2 linked regions of the Callithrix jacchus genome follow. Each later gene encodes a partner of the first gene's protein in a complex. Links are inferred from orthologs where the notes say so. Each region holds a gene or a part of one and is shown on either strand. Other genes may lie near its edges.

The links.
Region 2: the proteins of SSTR5 (region 1) and CORT are in contact, whole or in part, in a cryo-EM structure (PDB 8X8L), measured with the Homo sapiens proteins. The link is inferred for Callithrix jacchus from reciprocal best matches to the Homo sapiens genes SSTR5 and CORT. Residues at the interface, in NP_001044.1 of Homo sapiens: Tyr89, Leu96, Gln99, Asn100, Ser103, Asp119, Gln123, Glu182, Thr185, Cys186, Asn187, Ala188, Trp190, Gly198, Phe201, Ile202, Thr205, Phe264, Phe265, Asn268, Asn271, Glu279, Ala283, Tyr286, Phe287, Val290, Tyr294; in NP_001293.3 of Homo sapiens: Cys93, Arg94, Phe96, Phe97, Trp98, Lys99, Thr100, Phe101, Ser102, Ser103.

What each region holds. Positions count from the first base shown.
Region 1 is NC_133513.1:3,320,550-3,335,967, forward strand, and holds SSTR5 (somatostatin receptor type 5), read left to right. Parts: upstream 1-6,219; 5' UTR 6,220-6,277; intron 6,278-11,618; 5' UTR 11,619-11,644; coding exon 11,645-12,718; 3' UTR 12,719-14,087; downstream 14,088-15,418.
Region 2 is NC_133508.1:48,332,121-48,347,668, forward strand, and holds CORT (cortistatin precursor), read left to right. Parts: upstream 1-7,741; 5' UTR 7,742-7,888; coding exon of another isoform or gene 7,889-7,894; 5' UTR 7,895-8,232; coding exon 8,233-8,331; intron 8,332-9,450; coding exon 9,451-9,669; 3' UTR 9,670-10,059; downstream 10,060-15,548. UniProt on the Homo sapiens protein: Binds to all human somatostatin receptor (SSTR) subtypes. It also inhibits cAMP production induced by forskolin through SSTRs.

The sequences.
Region 1 (15,418 bases):
GCTCTGCAGGGACCCCACCCTGCTTGTGACCTGTAACATGCCCGCTGTACTGTGACACCCTCTTCACTCACTGTGTGGCCACGAGGGCTGCCCTTTGCAGGTCCGTTCCCAAAGCCCAGCCCTAGGTCAGCACTGGGCTCCCCTGGCCCGCCTGGCCCGCCTCTGCGCTGCCTGTACTGTGGTTGGGAATAGTCTGCGTCACGTGGCTGTTAATTTTGGAATCTCGCCCCCTTCCTCCTCCCGCCACGGTCCTTCACAGCACCCACGGCTGTACCAGATGCTGGGTTTGGCCCCAGCCGAGGGGCTGGTGTCCTGCACACAGGCAGGACGCTGTGTCCCCGGCACCTGGGCCAGTCCCCAACGCCGAGCAATGCCTGTGATCCTGTGTGGAGTGAGGCCATCAGCACGGCCCCTGCTTCCCATCCTGAAGGCTGGGTGGCCTGGGAAGCTGCATTTTAAGGAGTACTCCATGTTAACAGTGTGCCCACTGGAGCCGAGACCACAGCCAGGAGGGTCAGCCACGCCCCGGGCCCCAGAGCGGGGCTCAGGCCCCTGTAGAAGGTCCCACCCTTTAAACCTTCCAGGGTCTCCCGTTGCTCTCGGCCCCCGGGCCACGCTGTGCCCTTGGCTCTGCAGTGTGCACCTCACTCCGGATGTCTCGCTGGGAAGCCCCTGCTGCGGGGTCCCCAGGCTGCAATCCGCATGACTTCAGGGCACTCTATCCTCTTGGGGACGCTCTGTGGGAGCCCCCTGAGGAGCTCAGACACCAGGACACCCCCAGCCGGGTCCCAGTGACACAGGCCTGCTGTCCCTGTGCCCGTGTGACTTTCTTCTCCTGTTGGGAGGCTGGTGACCCGCTGTGCTGCGCTGTGGGGGGCTGACCTCTGACCTCCCCTCCCAGTGCAGTGCGGTGCTGCCTGCCACGCCAGCCAGGGCCTGGAGGGGCACGTGCACCATGTTTACTGGGACCCTGCTGTGCACCAGATGAGGGGAGAAGTCAAGGCCCACCAGGCCTGTGGCCTCCAGTGAGCATCCGCAGGCTGCGGGGGGTGGCGGTCAGTGGAACAAGTGTGGGGCTGTCGGGCTTCCGGGAAGAAGGGTCACTTGAGCTGCCGGGGGAGCTATGCAGAAAGGGAGGTGGGGTGCACGGGGCGGGGGAGGCCAGGGCAAAGGCCGGGTGCTCAGAGGGTGACGGGGACAGCAGGGCCCTTCGGACGAGTGGAGGGAGGGCCCCCTCGGCCGCCAGGCACCACCCCTGGGGCCCGGCCCAGTCCAGAGACTAAGATGAGAGGCCTCCGGGGTGTTCCAGGTGAGCTGGAGTCAGCCTCTGTCCCTTCTGAATAATCACAGGGGAGCGTGAGCGCAGTGACCGAGCCTCCGCCTGCGGGTGGAGGGGCAGGGGCTTCTCGTCCAGGAGGTGCTGGCCTCAGCCTCCGGAGAGGGGTCTCACGGTTCGTGGTACAGGTCACAGCCAGGGGTGGGGTCCCTGGAGAGGGGTCCGAGGACAGTCCCTGCAGAGGTGTCCAGCCACCCTCCAGTTGCCATGGCTCCCGGCAGACACTAATCCCCACGGTACCGGGCTGGACCTCTGCAGCGTCCCAGGCGGGTGTCACCTTGTTTGATCCTCCTGGGCTGGGTGGACTGAGGCCAGGGGACTCCTGTCCAGAACTCAGGGTGGCTGACGGTGGGAGGAGCGGTGCAGGGCCGACAGGCCCCCTCTCTGGCCATCAGGCCCCCAGGAGGGCCCAGGTGCTCAGAGGTGGGAGTGTCCCAGTTTGATGCTGGGAGTGGGAGCGCCCCTCCACCCGCAGGGCTGAACTTCCACTGGGTGCTGGGCCCTGACTCACATTGGACCCTGCACCCCTGGGGCACCCAGCAATTCCAGAACAGTGGGAGCCCAGAGGCTTCTCAGGGAGCCCCAGAATATGAAGGATGGGGGCCCCCCAGCAGGAGCTGGAGGAACACAGCCAGGGGCGGTGGGAGGTGGAGAAACAGCTGGGGCTGAGGTGAGAACTTCGAGGGTTCCGGGGTGGGGGGCAGCAGATGGAGATGGGGAGGAGTTGGGGCCCCAGGGATCCTCAGAGGATCTGTCTTGGGAAGCTACTGGTGTGTGTGTGGTGGGGGTGCGGGAATTATCCCAGGCACTTCCAGAGAGGATGAAAAGGCTTATGTCCCAAGCTGGGCAGGAGGGAAAGGGACCTGCTTGGCTCTGGGGCTGGAGGTGACAAAGTTGGCAGACAGGGAGACTGAGGGCGTGGACAGTAGCAGCAGGTGCAGCAGCATGGGCCCTCCCAGGCATCAGGGCAGATGAAGCACTTGGCTCCCAGGGGGTGCCCCAAGGGACCCCGTGGGCATGGATGGCTCTGAGTGGGGCACAGGAGAGAAGCTGGTCCGGGCTCAGGGGCAGCAGCACAGAGAGCCCACGCAGGAGCTGGGCTCCAGGCCCCCTCCCGCCGTGTGTCAGTGTATGTGAAGTCACCGCTTCCTCACTGGGAGTCCTGAGACAGGACGGCAAGGGGCGTCATTTAGGAGGTGATCCGGGAAGGAGGTGAGTGGAAGGAAGTGCTGCCCCTTTCGGCTCCACTGTGGCCACCCCCTCGCTCCCCTCCCAGCCACCCTCTGTCAGGGCCTTTGCCCCCTGCTGTCTGAGTCTACTCTCTTGTCCCCTCCTCAGCGTGGACTGTTCCCTGCCCGCCCTTGGTGCCCTAGTCTCCCCCTTGCCACCTGCTCCTCCCCGCAGCTGTCTTCATGAGGGTCTGAGAGCGCCTCTGTGGAAATGCTGCGGGTTTGGTCCTTGCCTCTGCCACACTCTCACAGAGCTGGGCATCTGCACCTTTGAGTGTGGGCTTGGCAGCTGGAAATGCTCAGAAACCGTGTCTTCCCCCGCCCCCATCCCATGCGTGGACAGGGCTTGTCTGACCTGCTGGGGAATGATGCCACACTCAAGTGTCCAGGCAGGTGGCTTCTCTGCCCACAGGCCCAATGGGATGTGCAGCTGGGCCATAGCTGGCCTGTCCCCCAGAACCTCCCACCCGGTCCAGAAGGGCTCCTGCACCACCCCTGGGGACATCTGGACCTCAGCATGGACTGTGCCTGCCTCAGCATGGGTGCTGGGAGGTGAGGATGACTTGGTCAGCCAGCCTGCCAGCCACTGTTACCCCAGAGTCTCTGAGAAGAATGACACCCGCCACCTCCAGGGTGGCCTCCATCAGCAGGTGGGCCACCTGCAGCCCTCTGCAGGCAGTTAGAGACAGAATGCTTGTTCCCAGGTGTTGCAAGAAAAAATAAGCATTCAGACGAAAAGTTGTCTCAGCAAGGCAATTTTACTTTCTGCAGAAAGGGTGGTCTCGTTAGCCATCTTGCCTCGAGAGTACACAGAGGAAAGCCAGGCATATTTATTCCTTATGCATTGGGCCGTTACTGCTATGTCTGACCTCCCCTGGCTGGAGTCAGACCTCACAATCTAAACTAAAACCCGATGGGCTGACAACTTAAAACTTTTCCAAGTAGGTGAAGGCAATGGAGAACAAGGGGAGAGAGGAAGGACAAAGAAAGAAGGGGCAGAGGCCGCGAGCTGGGACACGCCTGTGAGCACGGCCAGCGCAGATATCCCGGTGAAAGCACAGGGACGTACCATGTACCTCTTCTATATCTAACAGCTACACAGGCTAAGGTTTAGCAGAGTTACGGGAGGGACAGCATGGGGAGAAATGCCAGACGTGGGTGAAGGGGAGGAAGGCAGCAAATCACACTGCCACGTGTGTACCTATGCAACTATCTTGCATATTCTGCACATGTACCCCAAAACCTAAAATGCAAAAAAAAAGAGTTACTAGCAAAAAGCAGGAATTTTCCAAACAACTTATCATTTCTAACATTTATTATTATTGTTTAACAAAAAGGGAAACTTTGAAGAGGAAGCTTTTTACCTCCTTTTTTTTTTTTTTTTTTGAGACTGAGTCTCACAGGCTGGAGTGCAGTGGTGCGATCTCAGCTCACTGCAGCCTCTGCCTCAGCCTCTCAAGTGGCTGGAATGACAGGCGCCCGTCACCACATGCTCAGTTAAGTTTTTTGTATTTTTTTAAGTAGAGTTGTGGTTTCACCATATTGGCCAGTTGGCCAGGCTGGTCTCAAACTCCTGACCTTGAGATACACCTGCCTCGGCCTCCCAAAGTGCTGGGATTACGGGCGTGAGCCACTGCGCCCGGCCCTAGGAACTTCTTACTTTCTACACAGGAGCCTCAAGCGCCTCGGCCTGCAGAGCCACTGGTGTGAGCTTCTCCAGGGATGCCACAGCCCAGGGGGTGGGTGCCCCTTCCCACCTCCATCTGACCCAGCTGTGTGTCTGGCCTCATGTTAGGGCTGGGGAGGTGTTACAGGTGGAGGAGCTGGCAGACACCTGCAAGACAGGGCCTGGGGGTGGGAGGGAGGCCAGATGACTTTCTGAGCCCATGGGTCCAAGCCTGTATAGGGAGGGAGCGTCGTGTGCCCCAGGGCCAGCTGCAGCCTCCCCAGAGACCCTCTGTGAACCCGGGCTCTCCCCATGGGGCTGGGTGCTGTGGTCCCGTGAACCCGGGCTCTCCCCGTGGGGCTGGGCGCTGTGGTCCCGTGAACCCGGGCTCTCCCCATGGGGCTCGTGCTGTGGTCCCGTGAACCTGGGCTCTCCCCTTGGGGCTGGGCGCTGTGGTCCCGTGAACCCATGCTCTCCCTTTGGGGCTGGGCGCTGTGGTCCCGTGAACCCGTGCTCTCCCCTTGGGGCTGGGCGCTGTGGTCCCGTGAACCCGGGCTCTCCCCTTGGGGCTGGGTGCTGTGGTCCCGTGAACCCGTGCTCTCCCCTTGGGGCTGGGTGCTGTGGTCCCGTGAACCCGGGCTCTCCCCTTGGGGCTGGGTGCTGTGGTCCCGTGAACCCGTGCTCTCCCCGTGGGGCTGGCGCTGTGGTCCCGTGAACCCGGGCTCTCCCCGTGGGGCTCGCGCTGTGGTCCTCCAAGCAGTATTGCTGGATGAGAAACAATCTGTGCTCCTGAAGAACATGTGGAAACGCTGAAAAGCTTAAAGGAGAGAACTCAGTCCTGGTACCCGGCCTCCCGAGGGAGCCGCTGGAGCTTTCAACAGAGCCGAGCCAGCATGAGCCTACCCATCTGTGGACAGACGGCACGTGGCTGCTCCCATGTCCCTTCGACGAGGGGCCCAGGGCCTTCAGGGTTCTGCTGTCACCTGGGGGCACCTCACTTCATTCAGCCAGTGACAGGGCTCCCTGAGTCTGGGCAGGGGCAGGGGCAGGGGAGGGGGTCGGGGGGCCTCCTGGTGGGGAAGTGTCCGGTGACCCCCAGGCTTCATGCCCAGCGGGTGCTCAGGGTGGACCCCACAGACTTGCCATCAGCACGCGGGATCTTGTCAGGAGTGCAGATTCCCAGGCTCTGTGACCTGCGGACTTGGGGACCCACCCGAGCGAGGCCTGGGAATCTGCGCGGAGGCCCCAGGTGACTTCAGAACCCCGCCTTAGGTGAGGGACTGAGGTGGACCCATGGATTTATTTCAGGGGAAATAGAAATAACCGCTCAGCAGGTACGTTTCGGCCGCATTTAAATTCGTGTAGGATCCGCAAAGAAGGCCTGGAAACCCCGAATGGAGCGTCCTGGAAATCCCGGACCACGACCATGTCACAGCGGGGCTGCCTGCGGTCCTCCCCGCACCCCTTCTCTCCACGACCACAGCCCACCTCCGGAGAGGCCTGCGGAGCCCCTGCCTCTCTCCCTTTAAACAAGGACCCCTCCACCCTCTTCAGACTTTGGAGGAGGGACCCGCACCCCAAGCTGGGGTCTGCTGCAGAGCGGACAGCAAGAAAATGGGGCGGGGGCGCAGGCGATCATGGGGTCACTGCCAGTGGGACCAGGAATGTGGGCAAGCGCGCAAGGGTTACGGGGAGCCTCGATGTGGGAGCCCCGACTTGGGAGCCCCGCAGATGAAGCGCCCCGGCCCGCCCCGCCCCCACCCGACACTGGCCCCGCCCCGCCCGCGCCCACCCGACACCGGCCCCGCCCCATCAGACACTGGCCCCGCCCCGCCCCGCCCCCACCCGACACCGGCCCCGCCCCATTAGACACTGGCCCCGCCCCTCCCCGCCCCCACCAGACACTGGCCCCGCCCTTCCCCGCCCCCACCAGACAGTGGCCCCGCCCTGCCCCGCCCACTCCCAGCCGGCGCCCGCCCCGAGAGCCCAGAGCCAGCTCCGAGCGCGGACGCCGGGGCTCTCCAGCCAGAGGGCGCCTCCACCCAGGTGAGTGCCGCCCGCCCCGTCCCCCTCCTGCGCGGGCGACCCCTGCCCTCGGCAGCACGGGGTCCCGCGCAGCTCTGATATCCCCGCTGGGGCGCCCACCTCGTGTGCGCAGCCCCGGCCCGGGGTCCCGCCCTGCGCCCCCGCCTGCTGCGCTCGCTGTCCCCCCACGCGCCCTCTGCACACCCGCGGGGCTCTCCTGCCGCCGCCGGGGGTCCCTCCGCTCCCAGACTCTCCATCCCTGCCATCTCCTGGCTGCGCCCCGCCGGGGCGGTGAGCTCCTGGAAGGCAGCAGGCAGAGAGGCCAGCACTGGAGTCCTGGGAGCTGGCACCCACAGATGGGTTCCCTGGGACCCAGCACTGGGAGGCTGGGGTGTCACCCCTGCCCGCCGGAACAGAGCCGCCTCCTGTACAAGGCACCGCGTGTGTCCGGACCCCTCCAGGCGTCTCCGCCCTCCCCAGAATAGAGAACACGCCCCTGGGGTGTGTGCCCTGGGCGCTCCTTCCGGACCCCAGGCCTGCCCACCTGCCCGCCCGCTCTCCCCGGCCTGCCAGCCTGCTGGGACCCCCTCGAGGTGAGAGGGGAGTTTGGGACGGTTCCAGCCGGGCTGAGCCCTTTCTGAAGGCAGCGATCCGGGGATGTGGGTGGGGACTGCCAGAGCCTGGGGGTGGAAACTGGTCAATAGTACCAAGGACAGGGGCCTAGCTTGGATTTCCAGGGCGAGACCGGGCGGGGCTTCCAGGAGGAGCCCTGGGAGTGGAGGGTGGCCTAGGAAGCATTCGCAGAGCGCAGAGGAGGGGTAGTGCCGGCCTGGCCCCCTGCTGCTGCTACTGCTTCAGGCTGGCCCCCACCTGCCTCAGTTTCCCCCTCTTGGGGAGGGCGTGTGCCCTGACCACAGGCTGCCTGACATAGGGACAGATGGCGTGTGTGTAGGGAACATGTATATGCAGCCCCTCCAAGCTGCAGCTGCGTCACTGCCCCTGTGAAGGACCCGGCTCCCCGACCTCGTGCTGGGCTAACCTGGAAGGGGTTGGCAGGGCACAGGTCTAGCCACGTGGTTCAAGCTACAATGACAGGAGTTTGGTTTTAGCTGCTTGGGAGGCTGAGACAGGAGGATCTCCTGAGCACAGGAGGTCGAGGCTGCAGTGAGCTCTGATCCCACCACCGCATTCTAGCCTGGGCAGCAGAGCGAGACCCCATCTCAAAAACAAAAAATCAGGCAATCAGGAACCGTGGGTGCTGTGCTTCTCTGGGGAGCCCCATGGCTTTCTGGATGCTGGGGAGAGGCTGGGCTGCTGAGGGCAGCTGTGGGGGCAATCGCTGAGCGCCCCGTGTATGCCGACACAGCACCCAGCGCCTTGCACACAGAAGCTCGCTCGGTTTCATCTGCTCTGGTTTGAAGGAGTGGCCTCTGCCAGCAGCTGGGCTCGGAGAAGCCTAGGACTGACCCAGGACCAGGAGGCCCGTGTGGGGTGGTGGGGCGGGGCCGGGATCTGCTCCCAGTGCCGTCAAGCTACCGCTGGCTGAGCAGGTCCCTTCCCGGTTGAGGGCTGGAGATCTGAAGTCCCCCGTGCTGACCGCCTCCAGTGAATCCCCCCACCCACAAGGCACAGGGCCATGGGGACAATTTCCCTGTGAGTGTGTAATTTTATGACTCAGAAGATGACTGCTTCCAAATAATGGCTCCTGCGGAATTATGTTCCAAGAGTTAGGTACAGCAGTAACGGCCTATTTTTGTTCTTGGCTGCTCTGAAGTCTACCTCTGGGGTTGGAGCCCTGGCGGCCGCAGAGCTGGGACCTGGGAACCCGTGGAGCCTCTCGCTGGGCTCTGGGCATGGGAGTGGCGGCAGAGGAGCCCTGAGTAGCTCCTCTGAAGCTCTGAAGCTACAAACACGGGAATTTGGTTTTAGCTGCTTGGGAGGCTGAGGCAGGAGGATCACCTGAGCACAGGAGGATCACCTGAGCACAGGAGGTGGAGGCTGCAGTGAGCTGTGATCGCATCACTGCACTCCAGCCTGGGCAACAGAGCGAGACCCCATCTCAAAAGCAAAAACTCAAGCACTCAGGAACCAGAGGTGCTGGGGACCCAGGGCCTGTTCTGGAGATGGACCGGAACCCCACAGTCTCCCTCTCCCTGCCCCACCATCCATGGCTCCTCCACCTGGCCTCCTTGGTACCGAGGAGTGGGCCGAAAGCGCCTCCCCAGGGAGGGCTGAAGCTCAGAGGCCTCAGCAGCCAGGACGCTGTCCCGTCCACCCGGACTCCCATGCAGCCCACGGGCTGTCTGCAGACCACAGTCCTTCCGGAATGCACGCCCCACAGGCAGCCGGGGGGAGCCGTAAATGATGCGTTGGATTTCTGTGCCGGCCCCTGGGGAGTGGAGAATCGCTGGTCCACTGCTGCCGTGGGAACTCACTTCCTGGAGGCCCCTGTCTGAGTCCTCCTAGGAGAGGCCTTGTTCCCTGCCAGGAGCAGATGCGGCTGGAGGCTCCAGCCCGACCCCAGCCCAGGAGCTCCTTAGGCAGCAGCTCCAGCAAAAACGGAAATGTCTCTTCCCTCCTGGCTGGGCAGCGCTCTACTGGGTAGGGGTTCTAGGGTGACAGCGCCCTCTCTCTCTGTCTGCCCCCACCCTTTTTCTCTCCCTCCCCACCCCCTGCTTCTGCTTCTCCCACCCCCAGGGTTTGTATGGAGGCCACTGCCGCAGCTGTCCAGGTCCTGCCCGGGTGTTTCCGTCCTGTCTCCCTGGCTGCCTCTCTTTGCCCCGGATGCCATAGCTTGATGGGGATGCTCTTTCATTCCTTTACGCCGCACAGGACAGGGGCTCCCAGACGGGACCCTGTCACCAGTTCTGGCGGAGCCCAGGCACGCTCTCCCCCTGGGACCCCACACAGCCCTCTCCTGACCTTCTGCTGGCGCCCTGTTCCCACCCATCCGTCAACCCTCTTCCAGTCACCGATTCTCTCTTCCGCGCTGTGCAGACTGGAGCTGGTTCTGACCACTTCTGTAGTTCTTTTCCCCCACAAATGATTGTATTTTTTTTACATCCAAGATGTGTGATTTTTAAAAATAGGTGCCTGTTCATTTTACTTCTTAGACAGAAGCCAAATTTATTCCCCAGCATTTTTCCGTGCCTTCTCTGTGGATCCTCCACGTGTTTAAACAATCTAAGCGTTCGTGAGCTGGTTATTTTTATTTCCCCTGAGATGAATCCACGGCTGCACGGCCCTGTTCATTTTGAGTTGTATTTCTCAGCGTGTTTGGGCCACGTGCACCTGGGAACGCTGGTTTCTGGGCTTGCTGGGGACACACGGCTTCCTCTTCGGGGCTGTCAGCCTTGTGTTCTGCACCCCCCCCCCGCCCCGGCTCTCCTTTCCTTGTCTACCAGATGTCAGTGGCCTCGGCCCAACCCCGCAGCCCCCTGCCAGGACTGTGGCCTTCCCTGGTAGCTGCTGGGGGCGTCCTGTGCTCTGAGGTGCCTCAGGGGTCACAGCTGGTCAGCTGAGCAGGCCCAGGGCTCCAGACAGCACATGCTGGGGTCACTACGGCCAGTTCCACCCCCACTCAGGCCAGGGTCCCCCCAGGGAGGGACCTGTCCCTGGTCTGGATCCTGAGGGGCGCTTTGATTCTCTGCTGGCCACCCCCAGAGTCACAGAGTCCCAGGGTCAACCCGAACGTCTGACCTTCCTCCACCCCACTTGTCAGGGGAGGCACTGGTCTTTTTATTTATTCATTTATTTTTGAGACGGAGTCTCACTCTGTTGCCCAGGCTGGACTGGACTGGCCTGATCTCAGCTCACCGCAACCTCCACCTCCTGGGTTCAAGCGATTCTCCTGCCTTAGCCTCCCAAGTCGCTGGGACTACAGGCACGCACCACACCCACCCAGCTAATTTTGCATTTTTTGTAGTGACGGGGTTTCACTATGTTGGCCAGGCTGGACTTGAACTCCTGACCTCAGGTGATCCTCCAGCCTTGGCCTCCCAGAGTGCTGGGATTACAGGTGTGAGCCACCGCATCTGGCCTGATGTTCTTTTTGAGACAGGGTCTTGCTCTGTGACCCAGCCTGGAGCACAGTGGTGCAGTCACAGCTCTCTGCAGCCTCGACCTCCTGGGCTCAAATGGTCCTCCCTACTCAGCCTCCTGAGTAGCTGGGACTACAGGCGCCCGCCACCACACCTGGCTAATATTTGTATTTTTTGTAGAGATGGGGTCTCACCATGTTGCCCAGGCTGGTCTCCAACTCCTGACCTCAGGTGATCCCCCCGTCTCAGCCTCCCACGGCACTGGGATGACAGGCGTGAGCCACCACGCCTGGCCAGAGAATCGTTTTTACAACTGATTTCAAACACACAGAAAAACACAGAAACAATATACGAGCCTTGAACCCACAGATGTTACTATTCTCAGCCCACCCTCCCCCATGTCTCCCCTTTTCTCTCTCTGGGCCATTGTGGGGGGTTCCAGGTCCTAGGAGGGGGCTCCGAGCTCCTATGGGACAGGCAGTGTCAGGCAGCTGGAGCCCCCACCCCTGTGCCTGTGACCTGCCGGTGCCCCACACTGCAGCTTCTCCCTCGGGCTGCAGGACAAGTAGCTGCCCACCCCACAGTTCCTCGTCCTTCGCCCTGTGCGACCCCTGGGCTCCACGTGGCTGCTCTGTGCGGTTTGTGTATTTGCTTCTCTGCAGCCGCCCCGTGGGGAGGGGCGGTGTCTGCCCAGCCCCTGTGCTGTGCCCCTGCCTGGGTTTGTAGATGTCTGTCATTGCCATGGGGGGAACAGGTCCCCGCAATGGTCTGGCGAGAGGTGCAGGGTCCAAGGGGCAGGTGCAGCCCGGCGAGAGTCCCTCGAGGCTGCGGCAGTGACACGCTGTCCAGCGGATTCTCCAGTCGTGCATCCTGGGCAGGGCGGGGGCCAACCACCGGCCTCATCTCTCTCCGCTGCCGCCTCTCCCTGTGCACCCTGGGAGGTGCTGCCCACCAGGTCTCCCCTTGGGAGACGCAGACAGCAGCACCGCAGGGCAGGCTCTGAGGGGCTCTGGGGAGATGCAGGTGCTGGCCTCATGATGCCACAGCCAGGCCAGGCACCACCGGGCAGCCGTCATGGTATTGACAGCGGCCGGCCGGCCTGGGCTCCCGGGGCCACCTGCCCGCCGCTCCTTCCTCTCCTGGCTTGTTTTCCAAACAATTTGCTTAATGTGATTCCTGGCCAAGCTGAACATGACTAATCGTGTTTACTCGGTGATCCCAGCCTCCCGGCAGGTGGGGCCTGACCGGGCAGGGAGGAGGAATACCTGGACGTGCCCACTCACAGCCTCACCGCCCCGGCGTCCTCCCCTCTTCTCTTGCAGAGCCGACGCGCCCTCGGGCTGCCGCAATGGAGCCCCTCTTCCCGGCGTCCGTGCCGGGCTGGAACGCCTCCTCCTCGGGTAACAGGTCCTTGGTGGGGCCGGCGCCGTCGCCGGGGGCCCGGGCGGTGCTGGTGCTTGTGCTGTACCTGCTGGTGTGCGCGGTCGGGCTGGGCGGAAACGCGCTGGTCATCTACGTGGTTCTGTGCTGCACCAGGACGAAGACGGTCACCAACATCTACATCCTCAACCTGGCGGTGGCCGACGTCCTCCTCATGCTGGGGCTGCCCTTCCTGGCCACGCAGAACGCCGCGTCCTTCTGGCCCTTCGGCCGCGTCCTGTGCCGGCTGGTCATGACGCTGGATGGCATCAACCAGTTCACCAGCGTCTTCTGCCTGACAGTCATGAGCGTGGACCGCTACCTGGCCGTGGTGCACCCGCTGAGCTCCGCCCGCTGGCGCCGCCCGCGCGTGGCCAAGATGGCCAGCGCCGCGGCCTGGGCCCTGTCGCTGTGCATGTCGCTGCCCGTCCTGGTCTTCGCGGACGTGCAGGACGGCGGCACCTGTAACGTGAGCTGGCCGGAGCCGGTGGCGCTGTGGAGTGCCGTGTTCGTGGTCTACGCGGCCGTGCTGGGCTTCTTCGGGCCGCTGCTGGTCATCTGCCTGTGCTACCTGCTCATCGTGGTGAAGGTGAGGACCGCGGGCTTGCGCGTGGGCTGCGCGCGGCGGCGCTCGGAGCGCAAGGTGACGCGCATGGTGGTGGTGCTGGTGCTGGTGTTCGTGGGCTGCTGGCTGCCCTTCTTCACGGTCAACATCGTCAACCTGGCGGTGGCGCTGCCCCAGGAGCCCGCCTCCACCGGCCTCTACTTCTTCGTGGTCGTCCTCTCCTACGCCAACAGCTGTGCCAACCCGGTCCTCTACGGCTTCCTCTCCGACAACTTCCGCCAGAGCTTCCGGAAGGTTCTGTGCCTCTGCCAGGGCTCCGGCGCCAAGGACGCTGACGCCACGGAGCCGCGGCCAGACAGGAGCCGGCAGCAGCAGGAGGCCACGCCGCCCACGCATGGCGCCGAGGTCAACGGGCTCATGCAGACCAGCCAGCTGTGAGGGGCGCCGAGGGCAGGGGACGGGCGGCCCCTGTCACCCCCAGGGGCAGGGGTTGCACTGCAGTGCCCCCGACCCCTCACCTGCCTGTCAGTCAGGATGCTTCCCGACGGCGGTGGGGCGAGGCTGGAACTGCCGAGGCCAGGCTGGGGTGGACACAGGGCAGAAGGCACCCCATAGTGACAGATCACCCTCTCCCGCCTGTTTACTGCGTGGGGGCTCCTGGGAGGTGGGAGAGGTACCCAGGCTGGTGAGGGGCTCTTGTAAGTCCTCAGGGCCCCCTCACCCTCCATCCTGCCCCAGCCCGTGCCAGCCTCCCTGCCGGGGAGCGACGTTTCCAAAAGGCCAGCCAGATGAGAGGGTCTTCCTGATGGCAGGGGCCTGCCCTGCCCGGCCCCCCAGCTGCATGTGCCTTGGGTCAGCTCTGAGCTACCTGCTGCTCTCATAAATTAAAGACACCTGAAAGGGCTTGATCAGGTCCCCTGGAGTCCCTGCCCAGGGCCCCAGCCCAGCCCTTCCCCACATTGTGTGGAATCTGGACACAGGTGTGAGGGAGTGTGACTGGGCAGCCCTCGGTCAGCCAGGGTCACGCCTGCCCTGGGGCCCCACCCTGCTGCCCGCCACCCTCCATGGGACGCTGTCCCAGAGAGGGAAGCAGGGGGCTCCCTGTGGGAGAGGTGTGGAGGCAGCTGGCGCAGAGGAGAGCCAGGGGCTGAGGTTGGGGTGGAGGCTCCTGCCCTCCTGGCTTCTGGGGCTCAGGCGTCTGTGCTACGCTGACTGGCTCTGTCTGGAGGGCCGGGAACGGGGTGTGCCTGGGGGCCCTGGAGGAAGGGCTCCTGATGGAGGAGGACCTGAGGGTCAGGGACTGGAAAGGATGGGGAACCTACGGCTGTCTCTTCTGCTTTGGGGCAGGGGCTCCGGGCCTGGGAGAGGGAACAAGAACAGCGGACAGTCATTCAGGCAGCAGTGGGGAGACAGCACTGCTGGGAGGCAGTGGTCGCATGGGTGATGGGAATGCCAGGTCCTGGGAATCCTGCTGAACCCCACCTAGAATTGTCCCACCTCTCCCACCCCAAACGCCAACTTCTCCTGGCACCCTGGACCCAGAGCCTTACTCTGAGGCTGGAAGGAGCAGGACCAGAGACCCCTCTGCCCTGCCCAGCACTGGCCCTGACCCATGCTCCCGTCGCTCAGAGCAGGTCCCCGTCCTCCCGGGAGGGTGCAAGGAGTGGGCTGAGTGGGTACAGAGCTAGGCAGGGGAAAGGCCCAGACCGAGGTCAGGCCTGGGAAACGTCCGAGCGATGAGGACACGTGTGTTTGACAATTGCTCCCCTGTATAAACTCAAGGATAAATGTTTGATTCTTTCCCCGAGCAAATATTGTCTCTGGAGCTGAGTGCAGCCAGCACAGACCAGAGTGAGTGGAGCCCAGGCTCCCCTGAGGCCCAACACAGGGCGAGACCCCCCACCCCAGCTCTGCTGAGCCAGACAGGGCCAGGAGGGGGGCGGCTGAATGCCCAGCAGGAAGCCGGGAAACGTGGAATTCATGGACAGGGTGAAAAATGACAGACACTGCCTGAGGTCTGAGGCTGGAGCTGCCTCTCACAGCCGCCCCTGAGCGGGCTGCCCAGGCTTCTCAATAGCTATAGGGGGAGTTAGGGGGCTTCTCCAGCGGGTCCACAAGGCTCTGCCTCTGAGTGACCAAGGAGGGGTGGATCCAGGGTGCCCTGGGGGAAACTGAGGTTCGTTCACACCACAGCACCCCCTCACCTGCCTCCCTGGGGATTTGGGTGACATGTTCATCTGCTTGGAAGGCTCTGGGGACCTAGCAGATGGCTCGGAAATCCCTGCTGAGATCAATTTCTCCAATTGATTTGACACTGCCCTCTCCCCGAGGGGCTGGCAGCCATGTGGGGCAAACAGAGGCGCCAGCGCCCTCGCTCTCTGGCCCCACCTCGAGCCCCACCCCATTTGGCCCAGCTGCAAGCCTCAGGTACCCTGCTCCCCGCCTCAAGCATCCTAAAGCCCCTGGGACCCCGGTTCCTGTCAGTCCCAGGCCCCAGCTTCACGGCCCCGCTGGCCTCCCCAGTCTGGTCCCAGCCACATGCAAACCCCGTCTGTGCCTTCGGTCAAAGCCTTGCCCCCGCCAGGCGCACACCCTCCCCACAAAGCAAACCTGCTGTGCCCGGCCTCCTCCTCCCGAGTACCCAGGACCCTCCCATGCTGACTCTCTGCAGGCAGTGGGCTGGCCATGGCGGCCCCACAGCTGGGCCTGGGACTTCCTGCCCTTGGGCCCTTGTGCTGGCTGAACACATGTCCTCGTTGGACAAACGCACCTGCCACACGCCAGCGTGGGGCTGGGTCGTGGGATCAAGATTGAGCTGGAGGAGCATTCCAGGCTGAAGGAACAGCCTCTGTGAGGGCTCAGAAGCAACAGGGCACAGGGGGTGAGCTGTGGGGGTCAAGTCAGAGAAAGGAGCAAATGCAGGTCCCCCCACGTTCTGACCCACGCTGCCCCAAGGAAGGTGAAGCCACACTCACTGCAGCTGGAGAGTGGAGACTGGACCGGAGGCGGGAGGAGGCAGATGCAGGGGGTGTGAGGAGGCTGTGAGGCGTCCAGGAGAACACGCAGTGGCCTGGCCCTGGGCGGGGCCCCAGGGGTGTTCACAAGGTAGAGGCAGCCCCTGGCTAGGCCTGGAGAAGG
Region 2 (15,548 bases), on another chromosome or scaffold:
ATATCCTTCTCCCACTTTTGAATGGGTTTCTTTGTTTTTTTTTTTTATCTTGTAAATCTGTTTCAGTTCTTTGTAGATTCTGGATATTAGTCCTTGGTTAGATGGGTAGATTGCAAAAATTTTTTCCCATTCTCTTGATTGCCAGTTCATTCTAATTAGATTGTTTCCTTTGCTGTGCAGAAGCTCTGGAGTTTAATTAGATCCCATTTGTCTATTTTGGCTTCTCTTGCCAATGCTTTTGGTGTTTTAGTCATGGAGTCCTTGCCTATGCCTATGTCCTGAACGGTTTTGCCTAGGTTTTCTTCTAGGGTTTTTATGGTGTTAGGTCTTATGTTTAAGTCTTTAATCCATCTGGAGTTAATTTGTCAGGAAGGGGTCCAGTTCATTCTTAATTTTTTGAGACAGAGTCTTGCTCTGTCTCCCAGGCTGGAGTGCAGTGGTGTGATCTTGGCACATTGCAACCTCTGCCTCCTGGGTTGAAGTGATTCTCCTGCCTCAGCCTCCTGAGTAGCTGGGACTACAGGTGTGTACCACCACGCCCGGCTAATTTTTGTATTTTTAGTAGAGATGGGATTTCACCATCTTAGCCAGGCTGGACTTGAACTCCTGACCTCAAGTAATCCTCCTGCCTCAGCCCCCAAAGTGCTGGGATTACAGACGTGAGCCACTGTATCTGGCTGGCCGTGACTTTTCTCTATTTTGTAACGGAGCTATGGTTCTGCTCAGGGAAGTTTTGCTTGAGGGGAAAATCTGGGACTGCTAGATCAGAAGACTTCAGCATGACATCCTGTTTTAGTTTGTGAGAGAAAACGCTCCCAAGGGTGCCAGTCTTACTGTCTTCTGATGCCCTTGGGTTTCTTAGAGGTCCAGGCCTGCGTTTCCCTTTACCCTGTGGCAATACGGTGAAGAGAACAGGCAGGCATTTGTGGAGCCCTTTCTGTGTGCCAGGCACACACTGGGTACTCCACCTATTACCTCACTGATCTCCACAACTTTGTTAGTGTAGGTCTGATTCTCCACCTTCTCCTGATGAGCAAATGGAAGTTTGATGAGGCTAACCAGCTGCCCAGGGTCACCAGGCTATAGTTAGGAGACAGTGTTCAGATTCGGGGCCGTTCACTATAGAACGGGTGAGAGAAAAGGGCATGCATTTGGGGTAGAATTTATACCATCTGTACCCAAATCTGATGAGCACACCCCACAGCCTGACTCTGAAAGGGAGGTGCTAAGCTATGGCTGTAGTGGAGCACTGAGTTCACACCTCGTGGTTTCGGGTCTGCAGGTGGCTCAGCACTTGTCCTCATGTTAATGATAATCTGTGTGTCATATCAGTGAACGAACAGTGAGTCATAAAGCCGTCCATCTTGTGTTCAGCCAAAGACCCATATGTTAGGAGTTTCATTTTCAGATAAGCTCTCTTTAAACTCCTTATTGGCCATGTGCAGTGGGTAGTGCCTGTAGTCCCAGCTACATGGAAGGCTGAGGCAGGAGATTCACTCGAGCCTGGGAGTTTGAGACCAGCCTGGGCTGCACAGTGAGACCCCCGTCTCAAAAAAAAAACAAAACAAAAAAAAGGTTAGGCATGCAAATGCATGCCTATAGTCCCAGCTAGCTACACAGGAGGCTGAGGCAGGGGATTGCTTGATCCCAGGGGTTCTAGGCTTTAGTGCGCTATGACTGTGCTACTGCACTGCAGCCTGGCGGACAGAACAAGATCCCAACGCTAAAACAAAATTTAAAACTCATCAAGAACAGTTTAGGGAACATACTACAGACTTTCCAAAGGTGGAAAGATGGGGGTTTTCATCTTGGGTTTCCAACTCCAGTAGCTATATGTTTCAGAGATGTTATGCTCTTTTTTATTTTAAATTGAGACAGGATCTCATTCTGTTGGCCAGCTGGAATGTAGTGGCATGATCATGGCTCACTGCAGCCTCAGTCTCCCAGGCTCAAGTGATCCTCCTGCCTCAGCCTCCTAAGTAGCTGGGACTGCAGGCATGCGCTACCATGCCCGGCTAATTTTTTAGGTTTTTTTATAGAGATGGGATCTCAGCATTTTTCCCAGGCTGGTTTCAAACTTCTGGGCTCGACTCAAGTGATCCTCCTGCCTCAATCTCCCAAAGTGCTGAGATTATAGGTGTGAGTCACTGCACCTGGCTTTTTTTTTCTTTTCTTTTTTGAGAAGGGCTCTTGCTCTGTCATGCAGTACCGTGGTATATCGCAGCTCACTGCGGCCATGAATTCCTGAACTCAAGCAATCCTCCTGCCTCAGCCTCCCAAGTGCCCGAGACTACAGATGTATATTACCACACATGGCTAAGTTTTCTTTTGTTTTTGAGACAAGGTCTCATCCTGTCACCCATGCGGGAGTGCAGTGGCTCAATCTTGACTCACTGCAGCCTCTACCTTCCATGCTCAGATGATCCTCCTACCTTAGCTCCCCAAGTAGCTGGGGCCACAGGTGTGTACCACCACCTCCAGCTAATTTTTTTTTTTTTTTTTTTGGTAGAGGTGGGTTTTGCCATGTTGCCCAGGCTGGTCTCGAACTCCTGGGCTTAAGGGATCCTCCTGCCTCAGCCTCCCAAAGTGCTGGGATTATAGGCATGAGTCACTGCACTGGCCTTTTTTGTTTTTGGAGATGTGCTCTTACTCTGTCACCCATACAGTGGCATGATCACAGCTCACTGCAGCCATGAATTCCTGGGCTCAAGCAGTCCTTCTGCCTCAGCCTCCCAAGAGCCCGAGACTACAAGTGTGTGTTGCTACACCTGGCTAGGTTTTCTTTTCTTTCTTTTTTTTCATAAGGTCTCACTCTGTCACCCATGCTGGACTGCAGTGGCGCTATCTTGGCTGACTGCAGCCTTGACCTCCCATGCTCCAGGATCCTCCTACCTTAGCCCACCCCGCCAAGTAGCTGGGACCACAGGTGTGCACCACCACGTCCAGCTAATTTTTGTAGAGATGAGGTTTGCCATGTTTCCCAGGCTGGTCTTGAACTCTTGGGCTCAAGTGATCCTCCTGCCTCAGCCTCCTAAGTAGCCAGGACTACAGGTGTGCATTGCCATGCCTGGCTAAATTAAAAAATTTTTTTTTAGAGATGGGGTCTTACTATGTTGTCCAGTCTGGTCTTGAACTCCTGGGCTTAGGTGATCCTCCCATCTCCACCTCCCAAAGTTTGCTACCTTTTTGAAACCGTCTTTTATTTTATTTTTATTTTTTTTAATTTTTTTGAGTCAGAGTTTTGCTCTTATTGCCCAGGCTAGAGTGCAATGCTGTGATCTCAGCTCACTGCAACCTCTGCCTCTCGGATTCAAGTGATTCTCTTGCCTCACCCTGCTGAGTAGCTGGGATTATAGGCTTGTGCTACCACGCCTGGCTAATTTTGGTTTTTTTCGTTTTGTTTTGTTTCTTGTGTTTTTTTTTGAGACAGAGTCTCACTCTGTTGCCAGGCTAGAGTGCAGTGGTGCAATCTTGATTCACTGCAACCTCTGCCTCCCTGGTTCAAGCGATTCTCCTGCCTCAGCCTCCTGAATAGCTGGGACTGCAGGTGCTTGCTAGCAAGCCCAGCTAATTTTTTTTTTTTTTAATATATAAAGATCAATTTCCTCTCTAGTTTTACCAATCAGAATATTAAAATGTGGCCGGGTGCGGTGGCTCACGCCTGTAATCCCAGCACTTTGGGAGGCCGAGGCGGGTGGATCATGAGGTCAACAGATCGAGACCATCCTGGTCAACATGGTGAAACCCCGTCTCTACTAAAAATACAAAAAATTAGCTGGGCATGGTGGCATGTGCCTGTAATCCCAGCTACTCAGGAGGCTGAGGCAGGAGAATTGCCTGAACCCAGGAGGCGGAGGTTGCAGTGAGCCGAGATCGCGCCATTGCACTCCAGCCTGGGTAACAAGAGCTAAACTCCGTCTCAAAAAATAAAATAAAATAAAATAAAATGCTACCTCATTGTTTTAGATGAAATTTCCCATTTAAATATATGACACATAAGCCAAAATTTAGAAATAGCTCCTGGCATCACTGTAGTTTTGGGCCTTTAAAAAAAGTAAAGGCTTAATTTTAAGTTTGAATATAATGTGCAGCTTATATAACATATATATATATATTTTTTACATACATATAATTATATTTTATATATTATATTTTCCTTATCATGAACTTTATTATGCTTCTGAAATTTCTCCAATCATTTCAAATTTACTTCGATAAAAATTTTTCTATATTTTGTCCATTGCCTTTTGAAATCAGAATGTTACAAATTTCCATCTATAATAAAATAAAATATTCAAGCTTTATTAATAATCCTAATTTAAAAAGGATGCAATTAAGAGCTGACATAGCTAACAGAAATGTAAGAAAGGTATACTTTTCTTGAATAAAAAAATAGGAAATACTTTAATGAAAAAAAATCAAGGACTGAAGGAAGGAGAAAATTTTCTAGACAGTAGCTGGTCCTTCACAATTTGTGTTATTGTGCAAATACATCATTAAATAAATACTCATCTGATATTTACAAAATAGACGTAAGAGAAGAACCTAAAGTATCAGGATCTTTCACTTGCTATCCCTCTTTCACTCTTCTGTATACATTAGTTTACATACCAACTAAACATGTGATACTAGTTAACTATAGTTGAAAGCCTATCAATTAAGTCATCAGTAGTGTAAACAGAAGTTGAATGTCTCCTTTTTCCTTCATTCGGTGATCACTATGTTTTCGGAGGATGACATCCGCATCTGTGCTGAGTACTCGGTGGATGCCAAGGTACAACATCATCCATGCCATGGAGCAATCCTACAGGGCAGCTCACAGGTATTGGGCTGTGTAACGAGCAGTGGTGTTCAGTTTCTTTTTTTTTTTGAGATGGAGTTTCGCTCTTGTTACCCAGGCTGGAGTGCAAGGGTGCAATCTCGGCTCACCGCAACCTCCGCTCCCTGGGTTCAGGCAGTTCTCCTGCCTCAGCCTCCTGAGTAGCTGGGATTACAGGCACCCGCCACCATGCCCAGCTAATTTTTTGTATTTTTAGTAGAGACGGGGTTTCACCATGTTGAGCAGGATGGTCTCGATCTCTTGACCTCGTGATCCACCCGCCTCAGCCTCCCAAAGTGCTGGGATTACAGGCTTGAGCCACCGCACCCAGCCAGTGTTCAGTTTCTTTAATGAAACTGTACTGAATGTGATAAACTCCATCTTCATGGTATTTTGATGGCATGCTCCACACACCTTTTTTTGCCTCAACAGGAAGCTGATTAAACTGTGTCACTAAGCCATCTGCAGCTGTAGATACACCAATAAGAGCCATAACCTTTTCTGGTCGTGCAATTGCAGCATGAAGCTTAAGCCACCACCTGAGGCTAGATCCAGCATGAATCTGTGGCCCTTCAGCTAAGTCATCAATTATAGAAAGATCATCTTTCCTCCATTTCCCCAGTGTGCTTGCCTCCAGGTTACTGTCTGAACTTCTAACTCCTGAGTAATCAAACCTTATGTAGGTGTGACTTAGAGATTCGCAAAACTCAATCGCCAATGCTTTTGTACCATTCATATTAGAAATATAGCCAGGGATGAAGATAAAATTCCTGGACTTTTGCCTTTTAGCCTCTTAAAAGCCAGGTTTGGAGGGTCTGGTCAATTAAGGAAAGAGAATGATGTCTTTTGTCTGCAAGCTGGGGGCCACCATGGCACCCACTGAGGCTTTGGTGCAAACAGCATGTTGAGGCCCTGGTAGGGAACGAAGGGGACAGCTGCCCAGCTCCAGCTCCGACAAGGTACACAGTGACTATGCATGCAACCGCCATCTTCCCAGCTGTCCAATTTTTTATTTTTAATAGAGATGGGGTTTCACCATGTTGGCCAGGATGGTCTCGATCTCTGTGGAGGTTGCAGTGAGCCAAAGTTATGCCACTGCAGGCCAGTCTGGGTGACAGAGCAAGACTCATCTCAAAAACAAAAGCTGGCTGAGCTGCTGTGACTGTCTTATCTATAAGAGTAACTCAAAATTTTAGTGTCATTTCTGGGAATTATTTTGGTACAGAAATAAAAGATGAAGCAGGCTGGACGCAATGGCTCAAGCCTGTAATCCCAGCACTTTGGGAAGCCGAGGCGGGTGGATCATGAGGTCGAGAGGTCAAGACCATCCTGGTCAACATGGTGAAACCCCCGTCTCTACTAAAAATACAAAAATTAGCTGGGCATGGTGGCATGTGTCTGTAATTCCAGCTACTCAGGAGGCTGAAGCAGAAGAATCGCCTGAACCCAGGAGGTGGAGGTTGCGGTGAGCCGAGATCACGCCATTGCACTCCAGCCTGGGCAACAAGAGCAAAACTCCGTCTCAAAAAAAAAAAAAGATGAAGCAACATACGATGTATAAGCCTCTGGCCAGTAGGCCATGCTGATCTTACCTAGGATTTTAACATAAACAAAAAAACTGTGACAAATTAAATCCACAATTGAGATTTTCCTTGTGAAGGTGTAAACCAGAACTTGGGAAAACTGAAAACAAGTATGTTCCCTTCTAGAAAGCGCTGTCAGTTTTGGGGTGCGTTCCTTCACTTTAGAGCCTTACCTTGGACACTGGTCATCGGTAGTAGGCTTGAGCAGATGTTTTGGATTTTACTCACTGTCTGGTTGGGTGAAGGGGTCTGTGCATTTGTCTGTGTGGTTCAGCAATGAGGGCCTGTGAGGAAGAGCCAGTGGATGGCACAGAGAGGGGCTCTGGGCTCAGGAAGAGAGCGAGCCCTGGGAGCTGGCTGAGGGCAGGGTTGGGTACTGCTTCCCAGACTGACTGCCCTGTGGTACCAGTACATCTCACACGAGACCCACACACAACGTGAAACATTATTTATCCTTATTCGGGGTGAGGCACACTAATTTAAATTTCATTTGAAAGAAAAGTACTGACCAATGACCCATGAGTGGGTGGTCAGGAGCATGATCACGTCTGTCATCCCAGCACTTTGGGAGGCTGAGGCGGGTGGATCACTTGAGGTCGGGAGTTCAAGACCGGCCTGGCAAGCACAGAGGAACCCTGTCTCTACTAAGAATACAAAATTAGCCGGGCATGGTGGCATATGCCTGTAATCCCAGCTACTCTGGAGGCTGAGGCAGGAGAATCGCTTGAACCTGGGAGTTGGAGGTTGTGGTGAGCTGAGATTGAGTCATTGCATTCCAGCCTGGGCAACAAGAGCGAAACTCTCTCAAAAGAAAAAAAAAACACGGGACCATCAGGAGTTTGAGACCAGCATGGCCAACATGATGGAACCCCATCTCTACTAAAAATACAAAATTTTAGCTGGGCATGATGGCACACATCCATAATGCCAGCTATTCGGGAGGCTGAGGCAGGAGAATCGCTTTAACCCAGGAGGCGGAGGTTGCAGTGAGCCGAGATCACGCCATTACACTCCAGCCTGGGCAACAGACTTTGTTTCAAAAAACCACCACCAACAAAAACTGGACCAGGGCTGCTCCAGGGCCAGCAGTGCCTGGGTGCTGCTTGTTGAAAATGCAGCTCTCAGCTCCTCTGTGCCCCAGCACATCAAGACCTGCCTGCAAAATGGTCTGTCTTCACTTCAGGTTGAGAAGGCCTGGCCTAGAGGATGGTGGGTCTGGCCTGCTGGGTTGAGAGGCAGCACTGGGAGCAATTCCTGGGGTCTTGCCGACAATTTGGTGAAACTAGTGGATTTGATCAGAGCATCTCTGAGCCCCCATTGCCTCCTTGTTTCTTTGCCCGTAGTAGAATTTCTCTGAAATTACTGGATGAGTTTCAGTCATACTTTCACATGTGCACAATTTCACATTCAAGCTCCTTATCCAAGGCTAATTTTATATTATGTTAAATCACTTGTTTTTGTTCTCACGGCTTCCTGCCTGCTATAGGCATAATTACGAGGAAGTGGAACTTCAGCAGCGAGCACACATGCGTTCCAAAATAAGAGCAAATGCGCTGTAAACACAGGAAAAGACCTGAAGCTTTAATTAAGGAGTTAAATCCAATCCCAAAGCGCTTTTCTGGGCACTGATTGCTCCAGCTTCTGCGTCACCACGTGAGGGAAGAGGATCCAGGCATTAGACATGTATAGACACAAAAAACAGCTGGAGATTCAGCTTAAAATACCCACCAAGCTCCAAAGAAGAGACCCAAGTCCCCAGAACATTGATTCAGGGCTGCCAGGAGGAAGAGCAGCAGCAGGGTGGGAGAGAAGCTCCAGTCAGCCCCCAAGATGCTGCTGCCCCCTGGCCTCTTGCTGCTGCTGCTCTCTGGGGCCACGGCCACTGCGGCCCTGCCCCTGGATGGCGGCCCCATCAGCCCAGACAGTGAGGTGAGTACAGACGCAACGTGGCCACACGCTTGCCCACTCTCTTGTTGGGTTTTTGGCCTGCATGGTGAGTGTGTGTGTGTGTGTGTGTGCGCATGCGCGTGTGCGTGTGTTGGATTTCACAGCTCGGACAAGACACAGGGCTGAACTTCGTAGTGTTCTTGGCTGGCCCGAGGTACTGGGATGTCCCATTCAGACTGCTGATCTACATATACCTGTCTCAACCCATGAAGCATGTTGGAAGGCCGCGCAGCTCAAGGAGAGCCCTTCATGTCAGTGCCTCTCTCCGCTGGGCATCTGGGAAGGGTGAAATGAGTGTGCCAGTCCACTGAGGGCAGGCATAGAGCTGCCATAGCCCTTGTGAGTCACCCAGACTTCCAGAGCCTTCAGATTCTACACAGCACAGGCTCCCACTGGCTCAGAGTAATTGGCATCATTACATTTCTGTTGTGAGGTTTTATAACTTCATGAGGTGATTGATTGCTCTTTTTTCCGTTCTGAAAAAGTTCCAAGAAAGAGTATATAAAGTTGACCATTAAAAATGGATTTTTCTCCAAAATTACCAGATGAGTTTCAGACAGGTCATTTACCACCAGATTATTCCCAAAGCTTTCTAAGGAACTTGAAAAACCAGAATATAATGTTTCAGTCCCATCTGTCTCAGAAGGCGACTTGCAGACATCCAGGAGTGTGGCCAGAGGTGGGGAATGAGTACATTAGCCTGCTCCACCTCGGGGCTTCTTAGCTGCCAGTCACTTCGGGGAGAATGGCAGGTTTCCTGACCACTTCTAATTAAGGACCTCAGCAGAGAGTATGGGGCAAAACCACCAGGTTTTTTTCCTTGACTTAAAATGACCAACTTACTTTTCCTTTTCTCTAATTAGAGCAATTTCTTTAAGGTATTCTCTTCACTTTCTCATCTTCATCCTTTAAATGGAAATGTGGCTTATTGCTATGGAGCATCTTTTCTTTTTTTTTTTTTGAATTTATTTATTTTTAATACTTTTCTCCAAGGTATTCTAGGTCTTTTTTTTAAGTAAGGAGGAGATTGCCTATCTTTGCTTGCTGCCTGAGCCAGATCGCTGAGTTTTCTTTCCTTTGCCATCTGCTTCTTTTTAAAAGCATATGCAGGAAGCGACAGAAATAAAGAAAAGCAGCCTCCTGACGTTCCTCGCTTGGTGGATTGAGTGGACCTCCCAGGCCAGCTCTGGGCCACTCACAGGAGAGGAAGCCAGGGAGGCAGCCAAGCGGCGGGAAGGTGCGCCCCTTCAGCCGTCCACGCGCCGCAACAGGATGCCCTGCAAGAATTTCTTCTGGAAGACCTTCTCCTCCTGCAAATAAAACCCCACCCGTGATTACTCATGCAGGTGTAATGACGGACCAAAATAAAATGTATTAAGCAGCAGTGATCTTTCCTCTTCTTCCCATTTGAAAAGTATTTTTTATTTGAATTCCAATAATGCCCAATACTGACGTGTTTTGAGTAATTTGGAACCCAAAGTGAACATCTTTGAGAAAGATTTTTTTTGTGGTTTTGCTCGACTGTGCTCAGTGCAGCCACTGGGTTTTCCTTTTGACATTCGTTAAGGTGCTGGGAAGCTCTGTCTTTGATTTAAAATAAAATAGCCAAAGACTACATAATTAAAAGTTCAGAATAACATTTCAGTTTATGAATTGATATGAATTGTCTCAATTTAAAAAATATTTCTCTCACATTAAAAGCAAATTTTTTTTTTTTTTTTTTTTGTCTTTTTAGTAGAGACGGGGTTTCACCAAGTTGACCAGGATGGTCTCGATCTCTTGACCTCGTAATCCACCCGCCTCGGCCTCCCAAAGTGCTGGGATTACAGGCTTGAGCCACGCGTCCGGCCCAAAAGCAAATTTTTAACATCAGGCTTGAAGAGCAAAATGATTATTCCTCATGCTGTAGCTGAAATTAATTTTAAAACAAATATTAAACAGAAAATATGCTGACATGCCTGGAAAGTTGTACTTGAATTTGCTGTTATGTACCATTTTAATTAGTAGCTTAATGGATTGCAGTTCTTTTCATGGATTATAGCTTCACATTTGCTTTGGGAGGAACGAAGTCTGTACAGAAATGTTCTTTCAAACCAGATGCGGTGGCAGTGAGCCCTGCTGGCGCTCAGCTGTCGCCTGCTTGCAGTGGCTTCTAGTACCAGGACCTGTCCCAGGTCTCAGTATCTGGATTTTGTACAGTGACAGTCATATGAATTACATGTATAATTGTCACATTCGTGTCCCTATTCCTCAGTGTTCCCAGTGAATAATGGCAAAACGGGACAATTCCATTTCTGTGATGTAGCGTAGAGTAGCCATTGAGCCCCCACATGGACCAAGCTCTGGGTCTGCTCAATGAAATTAGGGGTAAAGAAATCATGCAATTCTAAAAGCTTTCTTACGTTTCAGTTCTCTCCACAGCACCAAAATCCTTGCTTAATGACACATACTGTTTATGACTCAAATCACAGATTCTAAAGGAGACTTCCTGCATGAAGGTTTTTCTTTATTTTTTTGAGACAGAGTTTCGTTCTTGTTTACCAAGGCTGGAGTGCAATGGCGCAATCTCGGCTCACCACAACCTCTGCCTCCTGGGTTCAGGCAATTCTGCCTCAGCCTACTGAGTAGCTGGGATTACAGGCACGTGCCACCATTACCAGCTAATTTTTTTTTTTTGTATTTTTAGTAGAGACAGGGTTTCACCATGTTGACCAGGATGGTCTTGATCTCTTGACCTCGTGATCCACCCGCCTCGGCCTCCCAAAGTGCTGGGATTACAGGCTTGAGTCACCGCGCCCAGCCTCTTTTTTTTTTTTTTTGAGATGGAGTCTCCCTCTGTCACCCAGGCTGGAGTGCATCACTGCAACATCTGCCTCCCAGATCCATGTGATTGTCTTGCCTCAGCCTCCCGAGTAGCTGGGACTACAGGCACGTGCCACCATGCCCAGCTAATTTTTGTATTTTTTAGTAGAGACGGGGTTTCACCATGTTGGCCAGGATGGTCTCAATCTCTTGACCTTGTGATCCGCCCACCTCAGCCTCCCAAAGTGCTGGGATTACAGGCGTGAGCCACCGTGCCTGGCCTTTTTTTTTTTTAGATGGAGTTTTGCCTTTGTTGCTCAGACTGGAGTCCAATGCTGCTGTCTCTGCTCACTGCAACCTCCGCATCCCAGGTTCAAGTGACTCTCCTGCCTCAGCCTCCCAAATGGCTAGGACTACAGGCATGCACCACCACACCCCGCTTTTGTATTTTTAGTAGAGACATAAAGACGGGGTTTTACCATGTTGGCCAGGCTGGTCTTGAACTCCTGACATCAGGTGATCCACCTGCCCCAGCCTCCAAAAATGCTGAGATTATAGGCGTGAGCCACTGCACCTGGCCAATTTTTCTAGTTTTAATAGAGACCTGGTTTCGCTATATTGGCTAGGCTGGTCTTGAACTCTTGACCTCAATTGATCCACCTGCCTCAGCCTCCCAAAGTGCTGGGATTAGAGGCGACAGCCACTGCACCTGGCCATGAAGGTTTTTAGATGCTAAACTTGATTGGGAAAACCAGCAAACGCTGACTGGAGGATATGGGAATATTCTCTGGACACCAGGGGAGCAGACTCCCTGAGAATGACTGCTGACCATTCCGTTCTGTTTTCTGCAGAGCTGACCTCATATTCATAATTACTAGCTGAATAAAGTATGATGTGATGGAAGAGACTCAATAGTATCCACATTTCCAAGCACAGCAGCTTTAGGAGACCAGTAACTGGGTCAGTGCACTGGTGGAAGAAGTCTGCCTGGAAGGCCAGCTAACCTTCAGAACTTTGTCTTTTAAGATTTTTCAGCCGGGCACAATGGCTCACGCCTATAATCCCAGCACTTTGGGAGGATGAGACAGATGGATAACCTGAGGTCAGGAGTTCAAGACCAGCCTGACCAATATGATGAAACCCTGTCTCTACTAAAAATACAAAAATTAGCTGGGTGTGGTGGCATGCGCCTGTAATGCCAGCTACTTGGGAGGCTGACACAGAACCGCTTGAACCTGGGAAGCTGACGTTGCAGTGAGCCAGCCATTGCCATTGTACTCCAGCCTGGGCAACAAGAGAGAAACTGTCTGAAAAAAAATTTTTTTTTTCTAGAAGAAAGCCACACTCATTGTTTTTCAGTTTTTAAATTGGTGTCAGCCAAGTGTGGTGGTCATGCCTGTAGTCCTAGCACTGTGGGAGGCCAAAGCAGGCAGATCAATTGAGGCCAGGAGTTCAAGACCAGCCTGGCCAACATGATGAAACCCTGTCTCTACTAAAAATACAAAAATTAGCCAGGCATGGTGGTGCATGCCTGAAATTCCAGCTACTTCGGAGGCTGAGGCAGGAGAATCACTTGAGCCTGGGAGGTGGAGGTTGCAGTGAGCCGAAATCATGCCACTGCACTCCAGCCTGGGTGACAGAGTGAGACTCTGTCTCAAAAAATAATAAATAAAAAACGGACCAGGTGCAGTGGCTCATGCCTGTAATCCCAGCACTTTGGGAGGCTGAGGTGGGTGAATCACGAGGTCAGGAGTTTGAGACCAGACTGCCCAATATGGTGTAATCCCATCTCTACTAAAAGTACAAAAATTAGCTGGGCGTGGTGGTGGACACCTGTAGTCCAAGCTACTCAGGAGACTGAGGTAGGAGAATTGCTTGAACCTGGGAGGCAGAGGTTGCGGTGAGCCAAGATCACATCACTGCACTGCAGCCTATGCGACAGAACAAAACTGTCAAAAACAAAACAAAACTGCAAGGTGTAGCCAGGTGCGGTGGCTCAAGCCTATAATGGCAGCAATCTGGGAGGCTGAGGCGGGTGGATCACCTGAGGTCAGGAGTTCGAAACCAGCTGGCCAATATGGTGAAACCCTGTCTCTACTGAAAACACAAAAAATGAGCCAGGCTTGGTGGCGCACACCTTGTGTGCACACCAAGTAGCCCCCAGCTACTTGGGAGGCTGAGGCAGGAGAACTGCTTAAATGTGGGAGATGGAGGTTGCAGTGAGCTGAGATTGTGCCACTGCACTCCAGCCTGGGCAACAAGAGTGAAACTCCATCTGAAAAACAAACAAAAAACCCGCAAGATGTAGAAGATGCAGCCAAAATGATTTAAGACAAAACTCCACAAACAAAATGGACAAAAACCCTGAAGCTGAAAAAAAAAAAGCTTGAACAGGTAATTAGGAAATTAAACAGCTAAATAATCTGGTTATTAAAGGCACTTAGTTATTCTTATAATTGATACAGGTTTTTTTCTTTTTCTTTACGGACTTCTTTTATTCCTAGCTCTCTGGAAAATGAAAAATCCATTAGTTTTTTTCTTTTGCTTTTACCCAGAAATTAAAGGTTGGTAAGTAGTAATTAGCACAGCTCCTGTCAAAGCCAATTGCCTAACGAGGACCGACATTTGACTTAAGTTGAAAGAATGGAAGAAGGCTAATGTGGAGTTCATTAGTTCCAGCTGCTTTCTCTGACAGTCTTTTCCCCTACCGTGAGAGCAGGCATGCCCTGCTCTCGCTCACTCCTGTTTTTAGAGGTATGGCTCTGCTCCTCTGGTTCTGTTCTGTAAGGCTGGAGGCACAGTGGTTATAGGGAAGGTAAGTGGTACTGGGGCACTACGTTTGTGACCACATTCATTACACATCTGGGCTACAGTTTGCAGACTAAGGTCTTTGCCCTACTGACTCTTTGATAGAGGACTCCTGCACCCCAGCTGTCTGCCCCTGGGAAATGAAAGAGAACCACTCTCCACTGTCTACTATATGGTAAGTACTATGATCTTTCTCATTACAGTACTTCATTCCTTTTTTGGGGGGACTGGATTATTTATTTTGAGACAGGGCCTCACTCTGCCACCCAGGGTGGAGTACAGTGGCACGATCATAGCTCATTGCAGCCTCGAACTCCTGGGCTCAAGTGATCCTTCTGCCTTAGCTGCCTGAGTATCTAGGATTGCAGGCGAGTGCTACACCCGGCTAATTTTTATTTTTTAAATTTTTGTAGAGATGGGGCCTTGTTATGTTCCCCAGTTTGGTTGGTTCATTTAGGCTGGGCGTGGTGACTCACCACCTGTAATCCCAGCACGTTGGGAGCCCATGGCAGGTGGATCACCTGAGGTGAGAAGTTTGAGACCAGCCCGGCCAACATGGTGAAACCATGTCTACTTAAAATACATTAAAAAAAAAAAAAATTAGCTGGGCGTGGTGGCGGCCACCTGTAATCACAGCTACTCTGGAGGCTGAGGCAAGAAAATCACTTGAACCTGGAAGATGGAGGTTGCAGTGAGCCGAGATTGTGCTACTGCACTCCAGCCTGGGGAAGAGCAAGATCTCAAACAACAAAACAAAACATATACTTAATTTAACCCTTTCAAGCTTGGGGCTTTAGAGTAACTAAGAGGTTTGACTCAATACGGTTTGTCTCAGTCCCAAAGCCACAGTACTTTTTTCATTATCCTGTCCAGTTCAGCCTCTTGGTGGGTTCAAGTATAGAATACCAATACCAACAGCCAGATGAGTCAACAAAAGCTCTGTGTGTTTCACAGAAATAAGGAAAATATTTTGGCTGGGTGTGGTGGCTCATGCCTGTAATCCCAAAACTCTGGGAAGCTGATGTGGGAGGATTGCTTGAGGCCAGCCTGGGTAACATGGTGAGTTTTAATGTCCCCTAGATTTCCTAGGAATGTAGGTACTTGTAAATCCAGGACAGATACGTTTACTCTTGTGGGAAATCCCATTACTGAGGGCAATGCTGCTGGTGGCATTGGAGCTGACAATCACTATGCCCATGTGCCAGCTAGCCTGCCAGATGCATGGCGATTCCATCAGTGCAAACATCTGACAGTCACTTTATTGGAAATTATTTTCCTTTAAATAGTACATTCCTGAAATAGTACATTTGGGGCATTATATTGATGCTGCTGTAAGGATGAGTGTAGGTAGATTATCAGTGATGGCTTCTTAGTAAGGGATATTTTATGTATTTTTAGTAGAGATAGGGTTTCACCAGGTTGGCCAGGCTGGTCTCAAACTCCTGACCTCAGATGATCCACGAATCTCAGCCTCCCAAAGTGCTGGGATTACAGGCATGAACCACTGCACCTGGACTATTGTGATTTTTTTTTTTTTTTTTGAGACGGAGTTTCGCTGTTGTTACCCAGACTGGAGTGCAATGGCATGA